2 linked regions of the Caenorhabditis elegans genome follow. The protein of the gene in region 2 interacts with the protein of the main gene of each other region in a pairwise test. Each region holds a gene or a part of one and is shown on either strand. Other genes may lie near its edges. The genes, in order: rab-11.1 and lec-6.

The links.
Region 1: the proteins of lec-6 (region 2) and rab-11.1 interact in a protein complementation assay, tested with the Caenorhabditis elegans proteins (one study listed by BioGRID).

The regions. Positions count from the first base shown.
Region 1 is NC_003279.8:108,006-111,790, reverse strand, and holds rab-11.1 (Ras-related protein rab-11.1), read left to right. Parts: upstream 1-1,733; 5' UTR 1,734-1,746; coding exon 1,747-1,786; intron 1,787-1,834; coding exon 1,835-1,956; intron 1,957-2,007; coding exon 2,008-2,299; intron 2,300-2,344; coding exon 2,345-2,526; 3' UTR 2,527-3,117; downstream 3,118-3,785. Other genes in the region: rpl-7 (Large ribosomal subunit protein uL30), read right to left, coding at 1-36, 84-281, 531-630, 726-736; Y48G1C.8 (DUF7747 domain-containing protein), read left to right, coding at 3,630-3,785. UniProt on the Caenorhabditis elegans protein: The small GTPases Rab are key regulators of intracellular membrane trafficking, from the formation of transport vesicles to their fusion with membranes.
Region 2 is NC_003281.10:598,800-602,429, forward strand, and holds lec-6 (Galectin), read right to left. Parts: upstream 1,568-3,630; 5' UTR 1,560-1,567; coding exon 1,236-1,559; intron 919-1,235; coding exon 802-918; 3' UTR 711-801; downstream 1-710.

The sequences.
Region 1 (3,785 bases), on a different chromosome or scaffold from region 2:
GTTGTTGATCTGACGAAGACGGAGGATCTGGAGAGCCTGAAAACAAAGAATGGTTATTAAAAAACTCATTAACACAATTTCACCTTTCTTGGCTTTGGATGAAGCTGGTTGATACCGCGAATTCTGACGACGAAGGCGACCTTGTGCTCAGCTGGAACGTAGAAGTCTCCCTTGGCCTCAGCCTCGCGCTTGAGTCTGAGTCCTTCCTTTTGGGCGTTTCTGTACTCCTGGACGTATTTCTCAGCACGCTTGAAGTATTGGGTCTTCTTCTCCTTGTTCTTCTGTAAAAAATTTTATTTTTAATGCAGGATTAGTTCAAATTAATTTTCAAACACCTAAAAGAAAATTTAAACTTTAAAATTTCGAATTGTCATCGTGTTATTGAGACGCATTCTGAATTGAATACACCTCACCCAAAAACAAGATAATTCTTATAGCTCAGTTTTGACGGCTGGCTTGGATAATAGTGGATCCTAAAACCAGTGCTTTTGAAGAGCATTTTCTGTTTTCTGACAGTTAAATAAACTTACAGCGGCGACGGTCACCTTGTGTTGAGCAGCCTTGGTGCGGGCATCGGCTCTCTGCTTTCTGCGCTTGAGCACAGTTTCTGGAACCTGTGGCACTTTCTTTCTGAAAAACCAAGAATTAATATCAAAATTGAAGTATTTGAAAGTCAGGCCTAAAAGTAAATTTCAATCTAATATAAATTTATAAAGAAAACTTACGTTGGAGCCATTATAGGCGATTGATTACCTGGAAAATCAAAATATTAATCAGAAAAGAAAATTATAAGATATTGAAACAGAGGAGCAAGTTTTCAAAACTAAATTATTTCAGTATTTTTCGAATGTTCAGCATTTTCTTCACGAAAACTATAAAAAACGCGTATCAGAATTACGGGAAATTAGTTCTAAAATTTATTCTGATGAAAATTTAAGAAAATCAATGAAAAATGCTCTGAAAAAACGGAAAAATTCGTTAGGCCAAAAAGAAAAAAATGTAAAATTGAGATTCCGTTGCGCCGCTGCGAAAGGGGTACGGTAGTTGTCGTGCCGAGACCCGAGGAGGCTTGCGCTGCGGCTAGCGTCGCGTACCCTCAGACCGACGTGGCTGCGCCGGTGCGCCTGACCTGTTTTACGTTCGATTTTATGGGTTTCACACGCATTTCGCGTTCGGAAAAGCTTATTCTGGATGTTCACAGCCATAAAACTAATTATTTTTTTCAATTTTTAGCTGAAATTATCAAAAAAGAACACCCAGAGAAAGCTTTCCCTTGTTAAAAATATCCTGTTCAACTATTTCGAAATCGTGTCGACAAACAAAGTTCGGCCGCTCACCTTCCCTTTTTCGGGTATGATAAGCCTCAAATACTCTTTCATAACACACTTCTATATACATTTTCACATTTTTCTTCTGACTAACCACCCTCATATATTGATAAAATTCAATATAAAACTCCCAACTCCATATACTTTGAATCATTCTTAAATCAAGTTCACTTATATTTTTTCAATCCCCGTCGAGATAGACAACCGGTTCCTGACTCCGCGTTTGTGTCGGGAACAGAACATAAAAATATTCTCCGCCGATAAAACAGTGTCTCGTTCTTTTAATATCGATTTTACAACAAAACATTGCGCCCGGCTGATGAATCATGTGACCAATGCCCTTTTTCTTTTTTACAATCGTCCCAATATATACACAACTTTCAAACAAGCTTTATCATTTTACAGCTCAGCAGTAAAGATGGGCTCTCGTGACGATGAATACGACTACTTGTTCAAGGGTAATTTTGTTTTTCATTTTTCAATTCCCAAACGAAAAATTGTTTCAGTTGTTCTGATTGGAGACTCAGGCGTCGGAAAGTCGAATCTCCTGTCTCGTTTCACAAGAAATGAGTTCAACTTGGAATCAAAATCAACAATCGGAGTCGAGTTTGCCACGAGAAGCATCTCGGTGAGGAACTTCATTAGAATACACTTATGATTCAAATTATTATTTTTGTAGGTAGAAGGCAAGACAGTGAAGGCTCAAATTTGGGATACTGCTGGACAGGAACGTTACCGTGCCATCACATCCGCTTACTATCGTGGGGCTGTCGGAGCTCTCCTAGTCTACGACATCGCTAAGCATGTGACGTACGAGAATGTTGAGCGATGGTTGAAGGAGCTTCGTGATCACGCCGATCAGAACATTGTGATTATGTTGGTCGGAAACAAGAGCGACTTGCGCCATTTGCGTGCAGTTCCAACAGACGAGGCCAAGATCTACGCCGAAAGAAATCAATTGTCGTTTATTGGTAAGTTAAACTAATCTATTGCGTTTATATATTTTTTTTTTTCAGAAACATCTGCCCTCGACAGCACCAACGTTGAAGCAGCTTTCACTAATATCCTGACGGAAATCTACAAATCAGTATCCAACAAGCATGTAGGAACTGACAGACAAGGATATGGCGGTGGCAGTGGTACAATCATTCCTTCGCCAGCGTCCGACCCACCAAAGAAGCAGTGTTGCATCCCATAAATCACATCGTGTTTTTTTTTTTCAGTCTAACGTGTGTATTTTTCGAAATGCCTTGTCCATTTAATTTACTGCCCCCGAAATCCAAATGATTCGCTCTTAACATCCGCGAGTTTTATCGAATTCTTGCAAGCACTGCGTTTGCAAGTCTTCACCGTTTTGGTGTGTAGTATTTGTAACTTTCTTTCAGATTTATTTGTAATTGCCTCCATCCCCACCCCTTCCCCCTCCCCCCCCTCCGAACCTATACATTCGTCCCTTTTTCTTCAGAAGATTGTGATCTGAGTTGAGTGGTGCTGCTTTCTTACCATTTATCCGACTCAAGATTGTATGCCAACTTCAGCGACGTATTTTGAATATTTTTTCTTCACCCTTATTCAATATTATTCTGGCCCACCCCCACCCAATGTGTATATTACCTAAACTATTTTGGTTATTCGTAATGTGTGTCTCTTGTAGAACTCGATACCGAGAAACCCTCGCCAAGAAAGCAACGAAGACATATGCACATTGTTTTTAATCGAGTTTTATTTATTTCGCAATTTTTTTCCAAATAGTCATTTTCCATGAATAAATAAATATATCTAATTGATCTCCTATTTTGTGAAACATTTTCACTAAACGCTTGTACCAAATCACGTCCAGTTTTTTTATTTTGAATTCAAAATGAAAATCCGCATTTTCGCGCCGAGACCACTACAGTAACCTAAGGCCTAAAAATGTGCATTTTTGCGTGTTATTCTATGCATTGTCCGTACAGCGTTTCCATTTGAATTTTTTGAAGTTTTCCGATAAAAAAAAAGAAAAACTCCAAAAAAAAATTTCCCATTGAAAAATGTCGAAAAAAGAGACGCAGAGAAAGCGCTGCAAGACCCCACATCTGTGTGTTTGTCCTTCCTCAATCCTCCGGCTCTCTCGTCGCCTCGCCGTCTCTTTCAAATTCTCCATCTCTCCTCCCGTCTCTCTTAGTTGTTCTGGTGTATGCTTGCGTGCGTGCGTTGCGGACTACAAATCAGGACTTTTTCAAATTTATTTTAATGCTTGTTTAATTTTTAATTTTCCACCCCGTTAATTATTCTTATTTTCAATTATTAAATTGCAGAAAAATGTCCGAGAATCCTGAAAATTCGGGAGAATTGGCAGAAAATCAGGAAGAAGTTGATCAAGAGCTTGTGCAAAATCCAACAGAGCCCCAGCAAAATCCAGAGCCGGCCGAAGAGCCCCAGCAAAATCCAGAGCCTGCCGCAGAGCCCCAGGATCCA
Region 2 (3,630 bases):
TTGCGAAGAAAATAAAATTAAATCTAACTTTCATTGCAAAAAAACAATTAGAGTTACGTGGAAAGTTGATTTTTTACTATTTCTCGTGAAAAAAAGTGTAACGAGTGGATTTTTCGTAATTTCTTGCAATTTTTCAATTAGAATTTAAATTTTCGAATAATTGTTTTGAAAAACTTAATGGAAAACAGGCATTTTGGCTGGAAAATAGACAAAAACGAAGAGAAAATGAAAAAAAATAATTCAAATAAATTTTGTGCGTCAAATAAGGTGCCCGGTCCGCAGCCACAGTGTTTGCACCGAACAGGAACTACAGTACCCTAAAATAGTATTTTCCTCGATTTCAGTTTTTGAAACTTGCTTTAAATGAACGAGTGGATATAAAATAGAAAATAAAGCTTTATTAAAAGAAAATAAGTGAAAATCTGATTAAGAATTTTCAAAAAAAAATCTTTTCCGAAGAATAAATCGAATTCCTTCACTATTTTTTCGAGATAAGAAGTTTTAAGAGAAAATGCCCTTTGGAACTAAGTAATGATTAAAAAGTATTAGGGGACGCTAAGCACGCTAAAACTGATGCTTCATAATAATAAACTATGAATTATCAACTTTATAGCGGTGACCTCTACCATTACTGCCGAAATTGCGCGTAAAATATGGCGCTTCGACTCAGTGTCTGCGAATCCATTTTTCGGAATTTAGAAAATAGAAATATTCAAAACCAAGGTTTATTGATATGAAATTTGCACAAAAATTCAAAATGTATCATAAAGAAAGAGTATTTTAAACCAAAAATTAAATAAATTAGTGAGAAACATGGGCGGAATGAACATGAACTCCTCCCTCGATCTCAATGAGATGGACTCCGTGGGATGGAGTACGCTCGACAAAGTCAGCGAAGTGGGCTCCGTTGACGAAGATCTGAAAAATATAATAGTTTAAAGATTAAGTTTCAGTAGGTGAACAGGGCTCGAAATCCAATGCTCATCAGAGATGGGAGTACGAAAAATCAAACTTTTCCACGTGGTGTCGAAGTGTCCCATTTTGGTGTGATCTTCAAAAAATGCGGCCGAAGAGGCGCTGACTTCTCAACTGATTTCGCATGATTAAGAGTGTGCTGATGTCACGAAAAATTCCCTCATTTTTTGTAGATCAAACCGCAACGAGACAGTCTGGCACCACGTGCTTTGCACGAACACAGTCCGCCTTAACATTCTTAAGCCCAGAATCCAACTAACCGAGATAATTCCACCGTTGGACACAAACTCCAGAGTGTAGATCTTGTTCTGCTGGAATGGATTGGCGTGACGATCCTCGGATTGCCAACCTCCTCCGCTGGTCGAGTTGTTCACAACAGCTCCCTCATCGAATCTAGCGTTGAAGTGAAGAACAATGTCGTCTGGAGTGCGAAGATTGATGTGGAAACGAGAATCGGCGGATGTTGGGAGAAGAACGAGACGGAGGCGAGCACCGTTGGAGAATCCTTGCACTGGGATGTTCACTGGGGTTTGTGGGTTGAAGAATTCGTTGCGGAAGCTGATTCCGATTCCTCCTCCGATCATGGTTGATTCTGAAATCAACTGTGTGAGTTGGGAAGGGAAACATGTTAGGAGCAATACTAAGACCACTATTCGTATAAAATGTACATCTATGAGAATTGTAAGCTGATTCTTTGGCTCTAAATCGCATGTTTTATCACTAGGTGATGTAAAATGTCTAAAGATCGAAAAGCCGAGTAGTTTGAAAGTTGATAAGAGCGTATGAAAAACCCTCGGCAAAGTAAACAATTCTCGGTGTCTACTGGGGGAAAATGTTCAACGAAAAAAAAATAGAAATTGGGCAATAAATGTAAACAATCCTCATCTATTTATACATCACAGAATGGGCGGATTCTTGCCTATGAGTCATCAAATACGATTCTAGAGAATTCCTTACTACATGAATCATGGAAAAAAAGGCTTGAGTACATTGTACACCTGCCATCGTCTCTTATAAGCAGTGTTTCTTATCAACTTATTGATGAGTTGGCATATGCTCCGCCTCGAACTATTTCGATGATAAGTTGCTTGTTTACTGAACTGAAAAAGGCTTTTCGATGAAAAATTCAGCCCGGCATAAAGAATGTCACGAGTTAGTTTGGAAATTAAGATGTGTGCTGATAAACGTCAAGAGAGGAAGTAGTGATAAAATTCTAGAGTTTTAACAAATTTGCAAAATCTCTGAATTGTTTTATTTTAGGAGTTTTTCAACCTAAATTCGTATTTTAGTTATTTAATTGTTCCTCGTTCCACACGTCACCATTTACAACCCTTATTATCGAAGTGCCAAGTTACAGGGAGAACTTGGTACATACCAGCTCACCAAGAAAAACCGATCAATAATGTAATAAAACCCGCTGACATTGAAGACAGAAGATACCGCAATTTTCTTTAATAGCTTGGGTTTTTATTAGCGCTAAACAATATATAACGTGGCAGTTTTTTTAATGCTGACTTATAAATAGTACTTTTCCTTTCAATGAATCTTCAGAGAATTTCAATGTGGCATTTTCTTAAAATCTTCCTCCGTTAAGCCATATTGCAATTGTATGTGGTAAACTTTCCAATACTATAAAAATTGAACTTTTAAAAACTTCTGAAACTTGAGTTTACAGTAACTTAAAGCTTAAAGGTGGAGTACCGAAATCTGAGACTTTGCTTTTTAGGCTCAAAACTACCGCATATCGTAATGAGACATCTTGAAAATTTCTCAACACGTTATGGCAGTTCAAAAATCTGGAAAAAGGTCCACTTTCAGCTAAAATCAAATTGTTTCCAACTTCTCGGTGTCGCTGCGTCTGGAAGTTAATTTGTATTTAATTACCACTTTCTAATAAATAATGTGATCGTTTAATGCGCATTTATTCGTTGGTTTAAGTACATTTTCGGCCAGTGGGGCACAAATAAAAGCTATGTTTTTGTGCCCCAATGACCGAAAATGCACTTTAATCAAACAATAAACTCCTAATAAAAAACCACAATATTTATCAAAGAATGAAAATTTTATTTTAGCTGAAAATGGGTCTGTTTTTCCAGAACTTTGAACCGCCATAATTTTTTTTTGCGAAGTTTTGAAAACGTCTCATTACGAAATTCGGTAGTTTTGGGCTATTTTGGGTCTAAAAACAAAGTCTCTGATTTCGGTACTCCACCTTTAAGATTTTCAAGTATACCCAGGAGCCACGTGTCCGTAAAAGTTCAATGATGGCATTTCCGGCTAGTAGTGATGTAATTTAGTCATGAAGCTGATTTTTTCTCCTCAATAATTTTGATGATTAATTATTGATAAGGAAAATGTCAAACAATTTGACGATTACCAGAAAGTTATTTTTCTACAATTCATGAATATCGGTTAAATTTGAGTAATCATTTTCTTCGTATGGAGCATGGGAAATTATTTAGACCTTTGCAAATTCAATTTTTTTTAAAAGCATTGTTAATTACCATCGTATTCCAATTTGATTCTAGACTACTATCAAACTTATTGAAGTGGTAATAATTTTTTCCAAGAATTTTGAACAACGTTTCTACTAGGGGTGTGCGTCAAATTTACCAAATTTGCCATTTGCCGATCTTGGTAATCGTTAGAATTTGC